2 linked regions of the Callithrix jacchus genome follow. The protein of the gene in region 1 purifies or fractionates together with the protein of each later gene. This does not show direct contact. Links are inferred from orthologs where the notes say so. Each region holds a gene or a part of one and is shown on either strand. Other genes may lie near its edges.

Region 1 (5,854 bases):
GAACTGTAGGCATGTACCACCATGCCCAGCTAATTTTTGTATTTTTAGTAGAAACGGGGTTTCATCATATTGGCCAGGATGGTATTGATCTCCTGACCTCGTGATCTGCCTGCCTCGATGCATGAGCCGGCCTGTTCTTTTTTTTTTTTTTGAGTTCAATTGCACAGTGTGGTAAATATACTTAACAATACAGTATTGTACATTTCAAAATACTAAGAGTAAATTTCGAATGTTTTCACCACAGAAATTGTTAAGTATTTGAGGTGATGGATGTACGAACTAGCTTAACTTAATTATTCCAAATTGTTATTCATAAATTATAAGATCATTTTGTTCCCCATAAATGTATACAATTATAAATTGCCAATTTACAATTTCAAAAAAAGAGAATTAATTGAAAAATGGTTGGCTAAATAATAAGTAATGAATCAAGAATAATTTTTTTCTTAAGAGACAAGGTCTCACTATGTTGCCCAGGCTGGTCTTGAAATCCTGGGCTCGAGCAATCCTCCTGCCTTGCCTCCCAAGTGCTGGGATTACAGGTGTGAGCCAAAAATAATATTTTTAATAAAACAATATTTTGTAAAGCAACATTTCCTATATCCCTGACCTTGCTATATATATATATATTATATTTAGGAATATCTGTATAGTTTTTATTTTAGCAAACTTCCGAATAATTTATTTGAAAAATCTGAATGTTAAGGTATTCATTACTTCATTGAATAATTACTTGTAGTAGGTACTGTGTGGCAAGAACCATTCTAAAGGCACCAGCATGCCAGCAGGCTATCGATCAGTGGGACAATGTGGAGTTTGTCTAGGGCAATCAGAAGAGAGCCCAGGCTGCTCAGGCGCTCGGCTCTAGGAGAAAACCATCTCCCTTCTGGCTCCCCAATCTGCTGAGAGCTACTTCCACTCAATAAAACCTTGCCCTCATTCTCCACGCCTATGTGTGATCCAATTCTTCTGGTACACCAAGGCATGAACCGGGATACAGAAAGCCCTCTGTCTTTGTGACAAGGTAGAGGGTCTAATTGAGCTGGTTAACACAAGTGCCTATAGACAGCAAAACTAAAAAAGCACACAGTAGCACAGCCACTGGCACTTCAGGAGCTGTAAACATCCTCCCCTAAACGCTGACACATTTATTAAAAGAAAGTTCTCAGCAAGAAAACAAAGGGGGGATGGTCCTGCCAACAGGCTCCCACCTCACAGACTGAATACCAAGCCACCATACACAAGCCAAAGAGGCTCCTCCCTGCTTTATAAGGCTGAATTCCCTGTGGTTGCACCCCATTCTCCCAGTGCAGGCAGGCCCCAGTCCCTTGCCGGCATACCCAGACAAGACCCTCCCCAGTATTCCTCAGATGCACAAAAGCTGTGGGGCAGGTCAGAGATTCTCTGGGTACCCTCACTTATCTGCCTCCAGCATCTATCAATACTATAAAGAATAATTCATTTTAAATATAATGAAGACCAAAAAATTTTAAAAGTTCTAGAAGGTAACAAATGAGGAAATGTTATAATCTTAGTTTAGCAAAAATCTCCTAAGTAGGACAAAAAAGGTATGAACTATGTAAAAGAAAAAAATGGATAAATGACATCAAAATTTAAAACTTCCATGTTTCAAAAGACACTTAAAATGAAGAGGCAAGCCACAGATAGGTAGAAAACATTTCAAAATGTATAGCTAATAAAGAATATGGTATGAAACATACGAAGAACTCAAATATATAAAGACCTCTTAGATAATAAGTCAAGCTAGCTAATAAATAAATGGTCAAAAGATTTGATTACACACTTCACAAAGAAGAGATTCTCCTGCCTCGGCCTCACAAAGTGCTGGGGTTACAAGCAGGAGCCCAGGCCCGGACTTGTTAGTTATTTCCAGTGACCCTTCAGAGGGCAAAGGGGAAGTTTTCTCCTGTTCCCTGTAACTGACAGGCCCATCAATTGGTGAATGGATAAATAAATTGTGGCATATCCACATGATAACCATTCAGCAATAACACAAAGGAATTACTAATGAAACAATAGGATGAATCTCAAAGCATTGTGCTGTTTTAAAAGCCAGACATAAACCACCACTTAGGTATGGTTCCATTAATACGACATTCTAGAAAAGGCTTAAAGCACATCACTGTTGCCAGGCTCCCAGGTGTATGTATAGCGGGGCGGGCTGTCGGGGGGGGTCAGGGAGGGGGCTTGGGGGGGCTGACTGCACAGCTCTCCTTAGTTTCATCCCGGTTTGAGCCTGGCGCACAACGCTTAACAAACTTTGACTTCCGTTATCCCTCCCTCTGGAAATGCGTGTGTCAGGGTGCCTCCTAGCGGAACGGCAGCGTTTCCTTGAAAGCAATTCCGTCCGGGAGTTCAGGTGGTGGTTGCCCGCCCGTGATACTTTCTCAGTTCAGCCAACGGCCTTTACTCTAGCCATCGACCTGTTGCCTTTGGCCGCCTGCCCAGTCACTCTCATCCCAGTTTCCTTTTCCTTTTCAATTCCGCCCCCTAAAAACAACAAACTGTTTCGTTTCCGAATCGAGCTGCTGGCCACGCCCCCAAACAGCAGGGGCGCAGTAGCGGAGGCTGCGGTTCCCCGACGCCACGCAGCTGCGTGCAACCGGTTCCCGCTCTGTCGCGCGACGCCCAGAGCAGTGGGCGCGCCCAGTCCCGGGACGTCGAGTTCTGTCCTCTCGCCTCTGGGCCGGGGACCCAGCAAAGCAGCTATGGAGCGGAGGTCGGGAAGAAAGTCGCGGCGAGACAGGCGCTCGGTCGCGGGCCAGGCCGCCGCGTCCCAGCCCGCGAAATCTCCAGGCGCGCAGCTCTGGCTCTTCCCCAGCACCGCCGGCCTCCGCCGCGCGCTGCTCCGGAGTGTCGAGGCGACGCGTCAGATTTGCTGCTCGTCAGGGCGCCTGGCGTTCCTGGAGCGCGGCGGGGCGGGCGTCCAGGTTCATCAGCTGCTCCCGGGGAGCGACGGCCTCCGGACGCCGAGTGAGTGGGGCTGGTGTGTGAGGGCCGTGAGGGGCGGGCGACCGGGGATCCGCGCCTGAGGGGAGAGAGCCCAGAAGGCCGCACTCGCGAGTCTGGCTCGGGTCGTTTCGCTGACAGCGCACCTGAGCTCTCTTTTACCCTGGTCTTTGTCGGGCGCGGGGTGCGCGGGATGCTGGCAACCAGCGAATCCTGCACTCAGCAACGCGGTTGGCGCAGAACCTGCGGGCAGCATCTTCATCCTTTTAGCCAGTCTGGCTTTTCCACAGGTTTCTGTTCAAGTTGGCCCCCCGCCCCCCGCCCCCCGCTCCCACATCTCCCACTAACTCCTGAGAAAGTAGTCACTGCTCCAACTTTGGGAGCCGTTTTCAGTGATGGGATTTTACCTTCAGTTGCACTTCTCCCACATTCTCATCGAGGTGGGGGAAAATGAATGCCCACACTAAAATTTTACCGTCTGTGAAGTGAAGAAATTGGTATCTTGCTGTGGGTTTGTTTTGCATTTAACTCTAACATCTTTGCGGTTTTCTACTGGGCATTTGCATTCCTTTTTCAGTAAACTGCTTGTTTATCTTTGCCTGGCTTTTTGAAAATTGAGTTGTTAAATCTTTTACTTATTGGTATGGAAGGGATATTTGAATACTGAATAAGAATAGTCTTCTGCTCCTCGTACATGTTGTAATATTTTTCTCACTTTGCCTTTCATGGAATGTTATTTTTTATTGTGCACAGTTTTTTGGGTAATTATCGATTTTTTTCTGTTAAGTAGGCTTATGGATTTTATGTTAGGTTGGAAAGCTACCTACACTCCCAAGATTTTTTAAAAAGTACTCATCTCTAGTAATTTTAAGATTTTTTTTTTTAAGTTAAAATTTTTTGTACGCTTGGAATTTAAGTACTGAGGTAGGTAGGGGGCTAGATTTATTTATTTGTTTTTCCAAATGCCCAGCCAATGTCCCATTACCATTTCTTAATACCTCCTATTTTTCAACTGATTCGAAATGCTGAGTCTCTTTAAAAGAAAGTCTGTTGGGCGATTTCTTATTACCAAACTGTTTTAGTTCTCCTAGCATTTGTAATATGGTTTGTGCTGTGAGACTTTTACAGGAATAGATTCTATTTCATTGTCACTGAAGATGAGACAAGGGCCCAAAACTACCTAGTTTAATTTTTGTGAACAAATTAAATAAGAGTACATTTTAAGTAGAGGACAGTTTAAAATCTCTTAACTTTTAAAAAGGACCAAATGTGCACTAATGCTAATGAAAAGTGTATTCAACCACATCCCCTTTAAAAATAGTCCCCCAAACATAATCTTTCCTTTTAAGAATACAGGCATTGGCTTCTACTGGAAACTGTTGGGAGGTGTTTATTACTATTATTTGCTTTTTGGGAAAAAGGAATATGTTTCAGAATACACAATGTATTGTTCTTGAAATGAGTTATGTTGTCCTAAAGTAATATTTTTTAGAGAACTTTTCATTTGTGTCATTTCAAATTTAGTTTGTCTTCACTTAATAAACAAGAATCTAAAAGCAGATCTTTAATTGGATACTTTAAGGGCATGTTCCATTTAAAACAAAGTATAAATCAATATTTTTTCAAATTAAAAAAAATCTGTCAAGACAATTGTCATTCTTAATTTGCTTTGCCTACCTGAATTTTCTTAAGAGAAATTCATGGTAAGTCAAACCTTGTCTAGTTGAAATTTTTCCCAGATCTTTTAAGTGTATTATAATGAAATCAGTAATACAGTGCGTAATAATAAAAATAATCATCGTTCCTGGTTGAATTTGCTCTGTAGAGTGCATTAAGTTAGGAAAAAACATGAAAATACATTCCATGGACCTGGGAGCAGACCACATGCTGATTCTATCATCAGATGGAAAACCATTTGAGTATGACAACTATAGCATGAAACATCTAAGGTAGGGAACTTTTTTCTTTTATTAATTTTATTAATTATTTTAATTTTAAATAAAAGACAATAATTTTTGTAGGAAAATGTTACCATATCTGATTCTTGTCCCTGCTTTATATAGTAGCATCTTAAGTAAATGATAAATTCAAAACTGACGAGTAAAATCCATGTTTCCCAGGGCAAGTGTAATGTGTTGTTTTGGCATTTAAAGATATTGATTAAATAGTCTGTCTAGCCCTAAATTGGATTTTCACATTCGTTAACTCATATGATCCTCACAATAATCCTATGAGTTAAATTTCCAGAAATAAAAGTTTTTAACCTAGAAAAAAATACGTATATCATGAAATGATTTGTGAGACTTTTCCCTAGTAGATTCTATGAATTAGAACTCATTTTCATCTTGCATTTATTCCTGCATCATAAAATCATTGTTTGCATAGAATATTTTAGTCATTTTATTATAATTATGTAATGCATATTATTTTTTCTTAAACCACTAATTAAAACATATAGTATTTAAAAAATAATTTTAGATGTACTGAATGTGATGCATGAAATTTAAAGTTTTTTCTTGCGCTTTATTTCTAATTAAATACCATTAATAATTGTAAAATCCATATTGTTACTTTCATTATGGTGATTAACATAAAATGTATTTTTTTCATCAGGTTTGAAAGCATTTTACAAGAAAAAAAAATAATCCAGATCACATGTGGAGATTATCATTCTCTTGCACTCTCAAAAGGTATTTTTCTAGAATAACAATAGTTTTTAGAAGTAATACATGTGTGTGTATGTGGAGCCAGTAGAATGTCTATACTTCACTTTGTAACAGGACAGAAATATAGTTTTGTATATTTAAGAATAAGAAATATATTCTTAAAGCAAATACAAAATGAGAGAATTCTTGGATCTATAAAATGTTCAGGTTTCCATAAT
Region 2 (4,517 bases), on another chromosome or scaffold:
AGTGCTTCAGTCCTTTTCACGGCTGCATAATATTCCATTGCATGGACATTCCACATTTTGTTTATCCATTCATCTCTGATGGACGTTTGCTCTGTTTCCAAGATTTGTCTAATGTGAATTGTGCTGCTATGAACATTTGTATGCAAGTATTTGAACACCTGTTTTCAATTCTTTTGAACACATGCCTGCAAGTGGAATGCTGAGTTACTCAATAATTCTATGTCTAACATTTTGAGGATCACAGTGGCCAAACTATTTTACATTCCCAACAGCAGTGTTATGTGCCATGATTCCAACTTCTCCGTGTAGTCATTCACCAACGCTTGTTATTGTCCTTTATTTTTATTTTATACTAGTTTTTGAGACAGTCTCGCTCTGTCGCCAAGGCTGGAGTGCAGTGGCACAGTCTTGGCTCACTGCAATCTACACCTCCCGGGTTCAAGAGATTCTCCTGCCTCAGCCTCCCAAGTAGCTGGGATTACAGGTGCCCTCCACCACACCTGGCTAATTTTTGTATTTTAGTAGAGATGAGGTTTCTACTAAAAATGTTGGCCAGGCTGGTCTGGAACGCCTGACCTCAGGTGATATGTCTTCCTCAGCCTCCTGAAATGTTGGAGGACATGTTCAGTGAGCCTTCATTTTCATTATTACAGTCATGCTAATCGAAATCAGCTTCTCATTGGGGTTTTGATTTGCATTTCCCCATGAATAATGATACGGCCGCCTTCCCGAGGTACGCAGCTGTTTCTGTGTCACTGGAGAAATGTCTATTGAAGTCTTTTGCCCATTTTAAAATTGACTCGCCTTTTTAAAATTGAGTTGTAAGAGTTCTTTGTACGCCCTGGATGCTGCCCCTCATCAGAGAAATAATTTGAAAATATTTCTTCCCATTCTGTGGATTGTTTTTCACTTTCTCAGTAGGGCCCCAGAATTCATTTTTTTTTTTTTAATAAAAGATATGTCTCTTCTATTAAAAAACAATATGAGGCCTGAGCGTGGCGGCTCAGGCCTGTCATCCCTGCACTTTTGGGGCCGAGGCAGGTGGATCACTTGAGTCCAGAAGTTCAAGACCAACTTGGGCAACATGGAGAGATTCCATCTCTACTAAAAATACAAAAAATTAGCTGGTGCACCTGTGGTCCCAGCTACTTAAGAGGCTGAAGTGAAAGGATCGCTTTGGCCCAGGAGGTGGAGGCTGCAGTGCACTGAGATCGTGCCACTGCACTTCAGCCTGGGGGACAGAGTGAGACCCTGTCTCAAAAAAACAAAAACAACAACAAAAAACACCAATCTGAGCAAACATTTCCCTAAACCAAGTGAGGTTATCTCTGGGTAGTTTGGACGGTCACTGTTTCACTTCCAAGTTTACTAATCTTGCAAACTGGTAAATGGAAAATGAAAACTGCCCATCATTCGTTCATGCGACGATGAGTTACTACATCTCGTGAAGGACCCAGAATGCTGGATACTCAGGTGTTTCCAGGGCGTTGGGCAGGGGTGGGGACGCTGTCCGCTGTCCTGAGTCCCTGTCCCTGACCGTGCCCTTGAGACCCTGCCTACTCTGCTTCTGCTTTTCCCTCTGTTTTCGTCATTCTGTTTTGTTTCTTCTACTCACTCCCGGGCTTGCCTCGGGAAAAGGAAACTGAAACCGAAGCTGAATCTGGCCACTAGGCTCAGGCTCCCCTGGCACGCCCCCTGACATGTGCGGCTCAGGCTTATAAAAGGGCCGGTGGTGGCTCGGGAGCTGGCAGCCCAGAGGCAGCGCATTCATCTTTGCTGTATGGGAGCTTGTGCCACAGCCCACAGCCATGGTAAGGCAGATGCCACAGGTGGGGGCGGGGGGCTGCGTTCAGTCCATTTTCCTCTCTCTTCCCCAGCCAGGGTCTCCTGGGGGTGCAGGGTGCTGAGTGGTCAGCCAGGTGACCTGAACGTTCTCCTGAAAGCGGGTCACCCCGGAGAGTGTCGGGGTGGGGCACAGAGGGGCGTCCTAGCAGGTAAGGGGAGGCCACAAGGTGGCTGTGGGCAGCTGACCTTCTAGCAGTGACCCCTCAGTGCCTTCTGTGCCTGCGGTCCCTGCTGACAACATGTGGATGGAGCAGTATCCCTGGGCACAGGCGCTTGTGCAGCCAGAGCCTCATGTGTGGTGGGCCTGGGGCTGGTGCAGAGTCTCTGAGCCTGTGTGATTCCTGCAGGGCCGGGACCTGACAGTGAAGATGCTGGGGGGCCACGAGTTCCAGGTGCCCCTGAGCAACTCCATGTTGGTGTCAGAGCTGAAGGCAAAGATCACCCAGAAGATCGGTGTGCACGCCTTCCAGCAGCGTCTGGCCATCTACCCGAGTGGCATGGCACTGCAGGACAGGGTCCCCCTTGCCAGCCAGGGCCTGGGCCCCGGCAGCACCATCCTGCTGGTGGTGGACAGCTGTCATGAACCTCTGAGCATCCTGGTGAGGAATGACAAGGGCCGCAGCAGCACCTATGAGGTGGCACTGACACAGACCGTGGCGCAGCTGAAGCGGCAAGTGAGCCAGCAGGAGGGCGTGCAGGAAGACCTGTTCTGGCTGACCTTCGAGGGGAAGCCCATGGAGGACCAGCTCCCGCTGGGAGAGTATGACCTCAAGCCCCTGTGCACCGTGTACATGAATCTTCGCCTGCGGGGAGGCAGCGCAGAGCCTGGCAGGCTGAGCAGAGGGCCTCCTGCCAGCATCTGAGCAGGATCAAGTGCTGGAAATAAAGGTTGCTGCAAGGGGAAATGGATGCCTCTGTGTCTGCGCCTGCCCCTCCAGGGGCCATCTCTGATCTGACCCTGCTGATGGAGCTAGGGGAGGAGTCAGGAGGGAGAACTGCCTCTGTGTCTGCACCTGCCACTCCAGGGGCCACCTCTGATCTGACCCTGCTGATGGGGCTAGGGGAGGAGTCAGGAGGGAGAACACAGGGTATATCCTGGTGGCCAGGCCTGCGTTGCCAAGTGAAGGGCCTGCAGTTACAGCCTCGAGGGATCAAAATAGGGACCCCCCCAAAACTGAAGTAAGACAGGTCTTCCCACCCTTTGGGAAATTATCTTCTAGAGAAAGAAAAAGAGGTGCATTTGATGGAACCCACCTGGCCCTCCAGCATCTGGGACAGCAGACGGCTTGCACAGGGACCAGCCTGCTCAGATCAAAAGGCTACCAGGGAGGCTCATGGAAGCAGTGAGGGGTGATTCCTCGGGGCCTACCCAGTGGGCCGTGAGGCAGGCTCTGCACAGGAACTGGGGCTGGGGGCCTTAGTTATCCCTAGGCAGCATGCACAGCCTGCTCCACCTGCCTGGGCTGGGCTAGGGAGGAGTAGAGACGGTCTGAACCTCACATCACCACTGTGGCCAGCTGCAGAAGAGCAGAAGGCAGCCTGGGTGGCCCCAAGCACACTCTTCAGGGCTCTGCATGAGGGAGGGGCTGTGGCCAGCAGTGGGGGGCACCTGGAATTGAGGCTGACACTGTCCAGGAAGAAGGGCTTGTCCCAGGTGGGGGGACCCAAGTCAGTACAAGCTATACCCCCCTCCCCACTGATGTGCCCTTCCCTGTCTCTCGATTCCAATTTGCTAAATGAGTCCCCCCAGAAGCCAGCTGTCGGCCAGGACACTTCAAGGACACGGCACAGTGGGACACACAGAGTCCGGATTGGGGCACTTGGGCCTCAGCTTTCAGAGCCCTGGAGGGGATGTGGCTGGAGACACAGAGCCCTCCGTGGTCTGTGAGTCCATGTCTGGGTGGGGGATCCCCATCTGGCTGCACCAAGACCACTGTGTGCCTGAGTGTGTCCAGCAGGGGCTGTCTCAGCTCCAGCCTTGTTTCTGGTCCCCACCTCATCCCTTTGCCACAACAGGCACTTGAAGCTGGCCCAGGAGTCTCTCCTGAAACCCCCACAGGGTCAGGGCAGGGCAGAGTCTCTGTCATACTCTGACCCAGAGATCAGTAGCTAGCTTGGGGTGAGGGGGTGCACCACAGACCCAGTCCTTTTTTTTAAATTTTGAGACGGAGTCTTGCTCTGTTGTCCAGGCTGGAGAGCAGTGGCACGATCTTGGCTCATTGCAACCTCTGCCTCCCAGGTTCAAGCAATTCTCCTGCCTCAGCCTCCTCGTGCCTGCCACCATGCCCAGCTAATTTTTGTTTTGTTTTGTATTTTTAGTAGAGACAGGGTTTCGCTGTGTTGGCCAGGCTGGTCTCAAGCTCATGATCTCGTGATCTGCCCTCCTTGGCCCCCAAAGTGCTGCGATTACAAGTGTGAGCCACCTCACCTGGCCTAATTTTTGTATTTTTAGTAGAGATGGGTATTTTACCATCCTGGCCAGGCTGGTCTTGAACTCCTGGTCTCAAGTGATCTGTGTGCCTCAGCCTCCCAAAGTGCTGGGATTACAGGTGTGAACCACTGCAACCACTGCATACGGGCGACCCAGTCCTTTGAAAATAAATACAGGCCAGATGCAGTGGCTCACGCCTGTAATCCCAGCACTTTGGGAGGCCAAGGCGGGTAGATCACAA

What was found. The genes of interacting proteins can lie anywhere in the genome.
Region 2: the proteins of HERC5 (region 1) and ISG15 purify together in Homo sapiens (affinity purification with western blotting; 3 studies listed by BioGRID, with this or other methods). This does not show direct contact. The link is inferred for Callithrix jacchus from reciprocal best matches to the Homo sapiens genes HERC5 and ISG15.

Annotation. Positions count from the first base shown.
Region 1 is NC_133504.1:109,218,683-109,224,536, reverse strand, and holds the start of HERC5 (E3 ISG15--protein ligase HERC5), read left to right. Parts: upstream 1-2,576; 5' UTR 2,577-2,729; coding exon 2,730-2,994; intron 2,995-4,795; coding exon 4,796-4,919; intron 4,920-5,583; coding exon 5,584-5,660; intron 5,661-5,854.
Region 2 is NC_133508.1:39,228,438-39,232,954, forward strand, and holds ISG15 (ubiquitin-like protein ISG15), read left to right. Parts: upstream 1-1,746; 5' UTR 1,747-1,808; coding exon 1,809-1,811; intron 1,812-2,192; coding exon 2,193-2,708; 3' UTR 2,709-2,750; downstream 2,751-4,517.